Linked DNA regions of Saccharomyces cerevisiae S288C. Changing the gene in region 1 together with any one later gene gives a genetic interaction. Each region holds a gene or a part of one and is shown on either strand. Other genes may lie near its edges.

Region 1 (7,148 bases):
AAATGCTCGTCTGATGGCCTTTTCTTTGCTTTATATGCGCCATGGTTAATGTTCTCTGCAAACAACTCTGCTTCATCGTATTGAGGTTGTTTGGCGTATCGCCTGATGGGACTAACCCAGTTAAGGCGAGGGAGACGTTGAGAAGTCCTCGTGAATAATCTGAATGACATTAGCGGCGCACGTCCCTGTTATCGATTGCTCCCTTTCTTGTTAGACGCATTCAACAATTCTTCGTTACTGCAGCTCAGGCTTTTTTTTTTCCTGCTGGTATACAAAAAGCAACAGTGTCCATTGACTTCAGGATATATCACTACCCAACATGCTGAACTTTAAAAAAACACATAATTATATGTATTACAATAATGTATAAATATATTTACTGTTTAATAAACTAGAATTTAAATCAAAAAAATTTCTCTTTTAAGTTAGTTCAAATGTTTGAAAAGAACTTAAGCTTGAGCAGCAAAGTATTCTGGGAATTCTCTGATGTTGTTTTCCAAAGAACCCTTCTTGGACAAGAACTTAACGAAAGCACCGTCGTCCTTGACTTCACCAGCTTCTCTCTTCTTCAAGTATTCTGGTCTGTCCAAGTTGGTGAAACCCCACTTCTTAGACAAAATAATCTTTTGTTGACCTGGGAACTTGTATCTGGCTCTTCTCAAACCTTCAACGACAACATCCTTGTTGCTGTCCTTGGTTCTGACAGAGAAGATAATTTGACCAATGTCGACACGAGCGGCCAAACCGTGTGGCTTACCCCAAGCACCTCTCATACCTTGTTGCAATCTATCCGCACCGGCACAAGACAACATCTTGTTGATTCTCAAGACATGGAAAGGATGGACTCTGACTCTTAAGTGGAAAGCATCTCTACCGGAGACAGTAGTCATGTACTTGTTGGCACAGATACGAGCAGCTTCCAAAGCTTCAGAAGACAATTGTTCCAATTCGTTGGAAACCAAATGGACACACAATGGGAATTCATCGACGGTAGCCTTCTTCTTACCCAAATCGTAGATTCTGATCTTGGAGTCTGGAACAGCTCTGTTGTATCTAGACTTTGGGTAAGGCTTGTTCTTTTGGTATCTGTAACATCTAGCTGGTCTTCTAGCCATCTTGAATTAGTTATTTGATATACTGTACTTTAAAGTTTGAAAGTCCCACTCCAAAAGCACTTGCGGAAAGGATGTATAAATGGTTGCTCCACATCAACATCTTTTTATAAACTATTCTCTAGAGAAACCAAACTGACCATCAATTCTGAGATGAAAAGTTTCCTTAGTCAGCATTATTGTGCTAACTAGTTTCGGAGGGAAAAATATCGAAAAAAAAAAACCAAAAAAAAAAATAAAAAAAATGTACGGAGGGAAAAGATGTACAGGTGTAAAAAAGCACCCCACGGAAATAACCGCTACTATAATTTCATTTCTTTTTTTTCTATATCCTGCGGAAAATTTTTTTATACTGACAGGGGAAAAAGCAAATTAATTTTGCTTTTATATATGGAAAGTAGCGGGAGATGAGATGAGGTGAATTGAAAGGCAGTTAAACACACAGACAAGTGAAGATAAAACAATAGCGCATCATGGGTAGATATTCGGTGAAGAGATACAAGACTAAAAGAAGAACACGAGACTTGGACCTGATCTATAACGATTTGTCCACCAAGGAATCAGTACAGAAGCTTCTGAACCAGCCATTGGATGAAACCAAACCGGGCCTTGGTCAGCACTATTGCATACACTGTGCCAAATACATGGAGACTGCTATAGCGTTAAAAACGCATTTAAAGGGCAAAGTGCACAAAAGAAGAGTCAAGGAGTTGAGGGGTGTCCCTTACACACAAGAAGTCTCTGATGCTGCTGCGGGCTACAATTTGAACAAGTTCTTGAACCGTGTACAGGAGATCACGCAATCGGTGGGTCCGGAGAAGGAAAGTAATGAGGCCTTGCTGAAGGAGCATTTGGACAGTACCTTGGCAAACGTCAAAACAACAGAACCTACTCTACCGTGGGCGGCTGCTGATGCCGAGGCGAATACCGCTGCCGTAACAGAGGCAGAGTCTACTGCCTCAGCCAGTACTTAACAGTAAAGTAAAGATCAGAACCAAAAATAGGCATATACACTTTTTATAGTATAACACACTTCCAGTCAACTCGAATCGCTTTTGCCGCGAAACGCAATGAAAAAAAGTACGCAACAAAGAGAAATAATGAAAAAAAAAAGAAAAAATTTTTTCATTGCTAGGCGATGAGCATCGACAGTTTTATACGTAAATCAATGGTTAGATAGATAATATTAATAACATACAAGACAATTTTTGCTTCGATTAAAGTGTTGGCACGAATTATTGTTGCGGTTCACCAACCACTATACATTTTTTCTCTTCCTTCCGCATCTTTATCTGGCCCCGGTAGGTCATGAAGTCTAGTAAGCAATTGGTTCAGGACGCTAAGGATTATCGCTTCAATCCGGCGATACCATTGAGAATTTACCTGAAAACATGCATCGGCATATTGGAAAAGGCACAGTGTGCGTTCCAGGCCAACGACTTGTCGCTGTCGTTTATTTATTATTTTAGATATGTGGATTTATTGACTAACAAACTATCTAGACACCCTGAGCTTTTGCGCATGGATGCGTCGTCGTCATCGTCGTCATCGTATATTCATAAAAGAGAATACCTGCAACTCATAAAGTTGGAAGTGCCTGCGGTCTGCAAAATTATTGAAAGCTTACGCACCCAAATTGATTCTCAATACAGCAAATTGCAAACATCACTCGCTAATAATATAGCCAAGCCGAACATAAACGCAAACACAACTCCCGTGCAGGTGGAGCAACAACCACTGCCGAAGAAATCTTTCGACGAGTATAGCTTCAACCAATCAATTTCTTTTTTCCAGAAAATTTCAAACGCACAACTTAATACCGGAGCAAGCTCTCAGAGTCAGGCCACTGCCCGTGATGAAGCCTACAGACTGAATTATCCGGAGCTACCACGCCTTACATTCTCCACATAGCATCCTTTTTTTTTTTTTTTTTCCATACCATACGAACATACATAACCTTACATACAATATTACATGATTACTCTGTTACAACACGTCTCCCCTTCTTGGTCTTGACCATTGTACTTTGGCTGGTATGTCCAATAGAGTCGCGTGCGCTACAACTTCGTCCTTGTGGGTCATGAGGTTCGTCAGCTTATCCATCTTCTTGTTCAACTTCATTAAATACAGCAGATTTAACACCAAGAGCACCAAGATTATTATGTTCACCCAGTTAAACCTCCATCTGTCGCTGCCTATTTCTGAGATTTCCGCCTCAGCTTCTGGTTTCGACTCCGGCTGTACCATCGTCAGCTCCGGTGCTGCCACTTTCCTAGGTGATCCAAAAGATGTAACACTGGGCAACGGCTTGAGTGTATCTGCTTTTTCTTTGCTCAATTCCACGTATTTCTCTACAAATTCTTCGACTAACTTTACCAAGTCCTTAGTGGCGCTAATTTGTCCATTTTTACAATTGCTCTCTACCATTGGCTTGATCCAACTGGATGCGTTCCAGTCCACCCAAAAACTTATTTTTAATATGCAACCTTGCCCCTGGTCATCCCATCGGAACATGTACCTCGTTCTGGTGCTGAAACTGGTACCACTAGGAACATTTGGTGTTCTTGTTATACTTAAAACATTTATGTACCTTTCCCAGTCGCAGTGTAAAAGAATTTCCGCTACCTCACAGTTTGTGGATTTGGGCCCCACAGGGAAATGCAGCTGTTTGGTGTATTGGAATTCTCTGTAATGTTGTCCATCTTTATTGACTTTTTCAAAAGTCCCTATGTGTGAGATGTTGGACGAATCTTGAGTTTTCAAAAAGCTTAACTCAAAAACTGGATTATCTTCATTGAACATCATAATGAAAAGTAGGCCGGGTGGAACGCTGAATTGACGTTCCAGAAGCACGTATTCATTATTAGCCTCAGGTTTATAAGGAAAGTCCATGGTTTCTTGTACATGGAATGGCCCCTCATATTGAAATGGTGCGTTTGGCTTTAACCTATATACGGGCCTACAATAATAAGTTGTTGAAGAGCCTAAAGACGATGACGACGATGACGACGAAGATGAAGAAGATGGCGATGCTCTTGGTGTGCCCATGTAATCGTCCACGGACCTTATGGCCTCCTCGATGAGCATGTCGTTCTCGCTCATGTAGGAAGCCCTGCTTGTTGGTTCAGTAGTGGTTGTCGATATGAAATCGTTATATGCATTGGTAGAAACATTGTTGAATATGGAAGAAGGGGTCGATGATATTCCCTTTTTCTTGGAGACCCTCTCATCAACCTCCAAAACGTCATTGATATTGGTTAAGTTTTCCTTTGACCAAACTCTTGTAATCAATTGGAAAACCTCGTCTCTCGCTATGAATCCGGAAAAAGTGTACCTGTTAGTCACGGTTTCCACCGAAATAGCACTTGAATTTGTGGTGACCTTATCTAAATATTTAATTTCATTCAAGGGAATCTGTAACTTTGCCATCCAGTTCAACACGGTTGAGTTGAAACATAAATGTGTGTTGGAGAGATAGATTCTGCCCTGATAGGGGAATTCTCTGTGGAAGTAGCAGAAGTAGTCCGTAATAAGTCTCGTATTAGGAGCTAATGGCTTGAACATTTGGCGGAATTTTTTATTAGCCTCCTCGGATGCAAACTGGACCTCAATATTTTTGACTTCATTAGTAACCGTATCTTGTGAATTTGATTTTAGGGAAAACGTGCTCAGTACGGTGTCAAAAAATGATGATCTCGACGAACAGTTAGAAATAGACGGCCTCTTGGCATCTCCATCAACCCCATCACTGTCCCCATTCGTCGAAGTGGCCATGATAATATTATTTACAGACGTCAAAGCTGTCTCGCCACCGCCACGATGATTGTCCAAGATAGAATTAACATCAGACAAGTGCGGGTCTGCCGGCGACGATTTCAACCCATTCAATGGCACTGAACCATCCCTACCGGGCGAAATCAACATATGTTCGGTAGAAGACTTCTGAAAGCTCTTACCCTTAATAAATTTTCTGGCACCATCCATGCCACCTTCTTCCACCACCGGCTTCACTGCATTCAACTCATTATCCATAGCGTCACCAAGCTCGCGCATACTATCCCCCCACATTCTACAATTCAACGTACCATGCTCTCTTCATTGCGTTCAATTATTCTCTCTAGATGCCACTAAATTTAATTACTTTGTCCCGCTTATTGTTAACTAAACGATTGTCCCATCGCACGGTCGCTGGTTCAAGTAAAAACGGTGAATTTTTCAATTGTTTAGTAGAGGTCTGTTGTAAAGATCATCAGAAAAAGAGTTAAAAAGTGGCAGGAAAGTATAGGGTTTTCTTGGCTGGGCAATGACTACCACGATAGGATCCCCACAAATGCTGGCTAATGAGGAGAGACTTTCTAACGAGATGCACGCACTGAAGAACCGGTCCGAGCAGAATGGGCAAGAGCAACAGGGTCCCGTTAAGAACACTCAACTGCATGGCCCTTCTGCAACCGACCCGGAAACTACGGCCACCCAAAAAGAATCTCTAGAAATGGTACCGAAAGATACAAGTGCAGCGACTATGACAAGTGCGCCTCCGCCAGCGTTGCCGCATGTTGAGATTAATCAAGTCAGTCTGGCATTAGTAATAAGGAACTTGACGGTATTTACAATGAAGGAACTTGCTCAGTACATGAAAACTAATGTTCACACCCAGGCAAATGAGCCTAACTCCGCAAAGAAAATACGTTTCTTACAGCTGATTATATTCCTAAGGACACAATTTTTGAAACTTTACGTGCTTGTGAAATGGACCCGTACTATAAAACAAAACAACTTTCACGTACTAATCGATCTGTTGAACTGGTTTAGAACGACTAACATGAATGTCAACAATTGTATTTGGGCTTTGAAAAGCAGTCTAAACTCTATGACCAATGCTAAATTGCCCAACGTGGATTTGGTCACCGCTTTGGAAGTTTTGAGTCTTGGGAGGCCAAATCTACCTACACACAACTTTAAATTAAGCGGTGTCAGTAACTCTATGGATATGGTAGATGGAATGGCCAAAGTTCCCATTGGATTGATTTTACAGAGATTAAAAGATTTGAACTTGACTGTCTCAATAAAAATTGCATTAATGAACATTCCTAAACCATTAAACAGCTATCATATCAAAAACGGTAGAATCTACTTTACTGTCCCTAATGAATTTGAAATCCAGTTATCGACTGTTAATAGACAGTCCCCTCTGTTTTTTGTGGATTTAAAATTGTTGTTTAACACGGAAGCTGAACAAACTGTTTCAGCAGTTACAGAAGCTACTTCGACTAACGGCGATAGTGAGAACAATGAAGAAAACTCAAGTTCCAACGGAAATAACCTTCCTTTGAATAAGCCAAGATTAGAGAAGTTGATCAATGAAATTCTTTTGAAAAGTAATGATCCATTATTATCCCTATACAATTTTCTGCACAAATACGTGTTGACATTACAGCTATACATGGTTCATAGAGAGTTTTTAAAGCTGGCCAACGGCGGTAAATTTTCCAAAAGTAATTTGATCCATAACTATGACTCTAAAAAAAGTACAATTACAGTTAGATATTGGCTGAATGGGAAAATGGACAGTAAGGGTAAGATCACTATTGGCATTCAAAGAACAACAGAAAGTCTTATCTTAAAATGGGACAACCAGAGTGCATCAAGGGCCAAAAATATGCCTGTAATTTATAACAATATTGTATCTAATATCGAAGGGATTTTGGATGAAATTATGTTCAATCATGCTAGAATCATCAGATCGGAGCTGTTGGCAAGGGATATATTCCAAGAAGACGAAGAAAATTCGGATGTTCTATTATTTCAACTCCCTACCACATGTGTTTCCATGGCGCCTATTCAATTAAAAATTGATTTATTGAGCGGGCAGTTTTATTTTAGGAATCCTACTCCACTATTATCAAATTACGCGTCAAAGATAAATAGAGCTGAAGGTCCAGAGGAATTGGCAAGAATACTACAGCAGCTGAAACTGGACAAGATTATTCATGTTTTAACCACCATGTTTGAAAACACGGGATGGTCATGCAGCAG
Region 2 (5,318 bases), on another chromosome or scaffold:
TTTTTTTTTTTTTTTTTTTTGATTTATATCCTGCAAACAACACTTCGAATTTAAATCGATATTTCATAAGTTACAACTAACACTTATAGAAACAGAAGTATGAGTACTTATCATTAACGAGGAAAAATGCCCTATTTTGTTTAGCAATTAATGAACCATCGCCAATTTTTGCTTTAACAATTATTGCCATTTTCAGCAGTACTAACGTAAGATCTAGTGTGGTTCGCTTAGGATGTTTTTGAGTAGAAATCTGCTGTGCATGCCATACGCAGTACTTGAAACTTGAAATAATGGTGATAATTAGTTATTTAAAGTATGTTAATCCTCCTTGTTCTTTTATATTTATTTCGAATTCTTTTGCACTAGTATTAAAAATATCAGCAGAGACGTAAAAGTGCACCAAAATTATTGTAAAACTACTTGCCCTAAAATTGATACTTCATACTCGACATTCAAAAGGGGTCCAAGTTTGGATGCATCAAAAAAAAAAAAAGAAATTATCCAATGATGAGCAAATGGTAGCTTTTCGTTCCCCAGAAGTGTAGTAGTTCCATGAAGTCTAATGACACTTTGGAAAAAGGTTTGTCACGAGCACCTAACTACTGTATTTTGGAATTTTGATAAACTTCAAAACGGGAACGAAGTGTTAAACTTAGATGCGGTTGACTTAAGCTTTAAAAGAGGAAAATAATGACTGATGATAAGAATTCAACAACGATTCAAAGCAGGTGAATTTCCATTACGTTTCGCTTTTCAATTGAAAAAAATTTGGTGGTTATTCGTTTCTTGCTTGACCTCTTTACTTTTTATACTTCTGTGATGAGAAGCAAGTTCGAGGATTTTACGATAAAGCCTACTGGTTATATTTGTATAAATTAGAACGTTGTCCTTATTTCTCTTTTCGAACAGTATCAAAATAAAGTTTTTGATCAGGGCCAGATTCTCTTCAAGGAAGAGATACCTCACGTCTGTAATATCTAAGAGCTAATGTTTCGATCGAACTTTCCTTTGCTTTTTTTCTGGATCTCATGAGGTCCCACTGTATGTATGTGCCCTCGCACAGTTTTGCTCATCATAAACATTAATCATTGGTTTTATGATAAGAATATCGTAAGAATTATTTTAACTTTCAGATTAGATTCCGGCCATATTTCTGACATTTGTTTTATTAATAAAAATTTGGCGAATGCTTTGATAACTGCTGATATTTCATTGTTGAAAAGGCATGATATAAGATGCACAAAGTATATTATAACTTATTATCAGAGATATAGGAACAAAGAAAAAGGGAAATTCATATCTCTATGTAAAAATACCATTATTTCCTCTTCTGTTTAATATGCTGTCCTTAATTTTCATGTTACATTATCAACTTTTGCATTTCAGTGTCCATTAGATCTTGGGACCATTTCCTCAATCTTCATGTCGTCTTTTCACACCGTATATAATATACTAGTAATATAAGTACTAGTCGATAGCTCGCAGTTGAGTCTTATTCCAACAGTTAATGACTCACTGTGCTTTCTGTTGCTGTAGAATTTCTGAGGCATTGTCGCTCTCTTCTATGTGATGCTACAACGGAACTAGGCTTCTTATATATCGTGGTCCTACAAGATCTTGGTATCTCGTTTGCTTACTTTGAAGCTTCACTGATATATAGTACTTAAACCACTTTTATGTTCATGGATAATCGTAATTGTACTACGCTGGTACCAGTTATGAACCCTATCAAATCATCATTGAACACTGCTATTTTTAACTAATCAAGATATATATGCGGCGTACTTTATAATTTCACGACACTATTGAAAGCAAACTAAAAATCAAGTAAATACCTATCCAAGTTGCGGGCTCTGGATTTATGTGGCCTTAAATTTTCGACCTATGGTTCGCTATTCAATATTAGAAAACCAAAATTAGGTACAAGTACTGATTGCGTCCGTGATTTGAAGAGCAGCGTTAAAAGATTACAAGATTTTGCGTGTCTTGGCCGACACTTAACTTTAAGCGTCTCGACTTGGTAACATGAGTTGCCAAAAGTTTTTCTCTCCAATCTGAATATGGGGAACCGGAATCTGTCTTTGACCTGACTTTCAAATTGTTGCATATGTAAAAAAAAAACAGAAGAAATATTATCTTGTCCTTCTAGCGATGCAAAAGGATTCATTACAAATCGTTGCAAAGGCCGAAAAGTTGCAGTATATTCGCATTGCTTATTTGAAGTACGTTTGTATACACATCGATAGTATTCATTAACACCACAACGGCTGAGTATACTATGTCAAACAGCACAATAAAGCCTGTCTGCGATTTTTTCCTCTACGTTCAAAAATCTCATTCAAGGCATAATCCCATATGTTGAAGATCGCTACCCATTGTTACAGGCAAACTGAATTTTTGGAAATGAGCTTGTACTTAGTAAATTTCTCTTTGCTTGCATCTTTTTCTTCCTTGTCAAAAAATAAAAGATACTCATTTTAAAAGCGCAGCCATATTGACTAAGTAAGTAATTATAATACTATGAGTAATTTTTGAGTACTGTGCTCATTTATTAGCTGCTTTTCTGAGAAAGATCCTCGATAATCAACTCCAGGTTAGTGGGGCGCTTCTACGGTCTCTTCTAACCAATTGTTCCCCGTGAGTTGCTTTCTCCGAAAACCTTATTATACATTAGGGTTATAAGAAAATTTTCTTTTTCCCGTAGATTAACTTGCAATGCCGAACTTCTAGATGTCACACCAGACCGTTTGACACCGCCATTTTCCTTCCTTTTCGGAAAAATGTGCCGATAAATGGTAAGACGCGACGCCACCGCTGCGAATATTGCGCTTATGATGAAGCAAAAGGAAAAAGCAAGTTCCCCTTAAATTCGTATAACTGTTTCATCAATCTTTAGTTCTGGCATTTGAAAGTTAATTAAACTTTTCTTCGTGGTTTCTACAGGAGTTCTGCATGTGCGTAATTCGAAGCCTGTGAAGGAAAAAGTATTGTCCTAAACAACAGCCGTAGAATACGTCAACTATAGTTTAAAATATTTTCTGGCTCTACCCGGTGCGATAGGTCTGGCTCTTTTCTATTTACTTTTGTTTGGAGTTGTTGAGGCCGATACCCGTCTAGATGTAAATATGAAATAACAGTTCGAGGTTTTATTACGAGAATGGAAAGGGTAATGGATTGGAGCATGTGTAAATGTCAATAGCAGAAAAAATTTACCGCAAATTGTTTCGTAGTCTTATCTTCATCGGACACTCAAGGGTTGCATAATTTTTACCCAAAGGAACAGTATACTTTTTTAATAAAAAAATCATGTTACCTATGGAGTATTGTAAGCATTTTCAGAAACTCGTCTTTTGAGTTCTAAATGCATCATACAACAACAACAATTTCTTATTACTGTGTCCTTTTGGGATTTTTCAGCCTTCCTGGCTTACCCAAAATAGCCTCTCAAGGTGAAAAAAACCATGCCTGCAAGCGGATCTAAGGATGAGTAGCTGGATTACAATAAATCCTGAATTTTCTCTGAGTGTCAACTTTGTCAGCGCTTGTTAAAGGGCTACTACGCTGAAAAAGAACCTGAACCCCGTTAATAGGTTGACGATTTTATGACTTGGTATGCTATTCCATACGGCGGCTCTCCTGATTGCGGTGGGTCATTGCTATAACAGTAAAATCAAGGAAGATAACAGGAAGAGTAACTTTAGTACAATAAATCTGTTGTCTACCGAGGATTATAATTGTTCGGCTTTCACACTAAGTTGAAAGGGGACTCAGGAAATGACAGGGTACGTTTTAGTTTCTTCAAATAAATCTTCCACACCCAGCTTCAATGTGGTAAACGGGGGAAAGTTGATTAGTTGATGTTGACACGTATATTTAACTGATGTAGAGAAGAACAACATACTACTAACGTCACAGTCAATTGTGCCAGTTTTCCAATCAAGATAATGTAAAAGTAATTGATATATGTTCGTACTGGTTTCCCAATTTCCGGGAAAAACTGTGTACATGGGTGCAATTCCTTGTGGTTATTTCCTTTTAAGTTATATTGCCAACCACATCATAGTACTATTTGCGGTCACTTCAGAAGATATGTTTGCTCCTTTGACCATGATATAGACCAGACCAACTGTACCGCTTCAGACTTCAGAGCATTAGGAATAAGCACCACTATTACACAACCATAGAGCTACTCTTACTGCCACGTAGGTAAAACACTTGCTACTACACACACTCGTAGTGACTCATCTGACTATATTACCGGTTGTTAAGAGGCACCAGTTCAAGCACGCCATCAAGAGTACCGAATAATCTCTTCTGTATCAAGTATTCTACCTTTATGTCTGACCCACGTATTATGTGGAGCAATTACGTATTTTTCTCATATCAGCTTTGTTTTTACTCAACTTTAATATCTTAGAGAAACAGATCTTGATGTTACAGCAAGGTCAAGAAAATATTTTGACAAAAACATACTAGTTTCATCCTTAGTAGTTGGTTCTATGAATGCTGTACTTGAAGCTATTGTTCATAAAATCCTTAAGTTTTACCAACGGTATAATATCCTGCTATTAAATCTGCAATTACTTTTGCGAAAAGAAGGAAAACAGGCAAAACAAAAGCAAAAAAATTGGCATCCCAATTTCTTATAATATAATAGTATAACGGATGTACACCATGCTTTCAATAATAAGAGGTTTGCTGAAAAGGGCAACTATCTGACTAGTTCAGAGCCATGCAAAAGTTAAGGATGAAAATGCCAAATAAGAAGATATTACGGAGTACATTCATTTCAAAAAGAAGAATGTATACTGCTTAGATAAGAGGATCGAGTTTTTATATTTCCGACCAAATAAGCAGTCGAAAACTTTTGATGCACCAAACACCGTTCTTGAGAGCCAAGCACAGATGCAATTGTTCTGCCCTTCTTCCAAATTATGAATTGTGCATCATATCGTAAGGCCAGCCACATAAAAAAAAGGACCAAAAAACTCAGTATGCAGGCGAATATTCATCATACAGTCTAGCTGCCCTCACTACTTCCAAAAAAATGGGCTAGTGTTGTACGGTTTATGCCATATATCCAGAGTTAGCATAACTATGCACTACCGCTTTTCGAACAAAAAGTTTGCGAGACCTAGTTCATTGAATATGACTTACCAAAAAAGGATACTAAGATCCTGATAATAAAGTCAATAACTTGAATTTTAGGTGGAATATCTCTTATGCCTTTATTTTCAACAATCATTATAGACTAACTCTACCAGCAGATTATGATGCCGTTCTTCTAGTCGAGCACATGGTCAAAATAGTCAATAAAA

Evidence for each region. A genetic interaction does not mean that the proteins touch.
Region 2: mutations in LAM6 (region 1) and YAL064W together harm fitness more than expected from each alone (negative genetic interaction), as found in Saccharomyces cerevisiae (one large-scale study listed by BioGRID).

The regions. Positions count from the first base shown.
Region 1 is NC_001144.5:276,894-284,041, reverse strand, and holds LAM6 (Lam6p), read right to left. Parts: upstream 5,181-7,148; coding exon 3,099-5,180; downstream 1-3,098. Other genes in the region: FMP25 (Fmp25p), read right to left, coding at 1-170; 60S ribosomal protein uL16 RPL10, read right to left, coding at 450-1,115; BUD20 (Bud20p), read left to right, coding at 1,586-2,086; RFU1 (Rfu1p), read left to right, coding at 2,421-3,023; RGR1 (Rgr1p), read left to right, coding at 5,416-7,148.
Region 2 is NC_001133.9:18,415-23,732, reverse strand, and holds YAL064W (uncharacterized protein), read right to left. Parts: upstream 2,168-5,318; coding exon 1,883-2,167; downstream 1-1,882. Other genes in the region: YAL063C-A (uncharacterized protein), read left to right, coding at 1,048-1,338.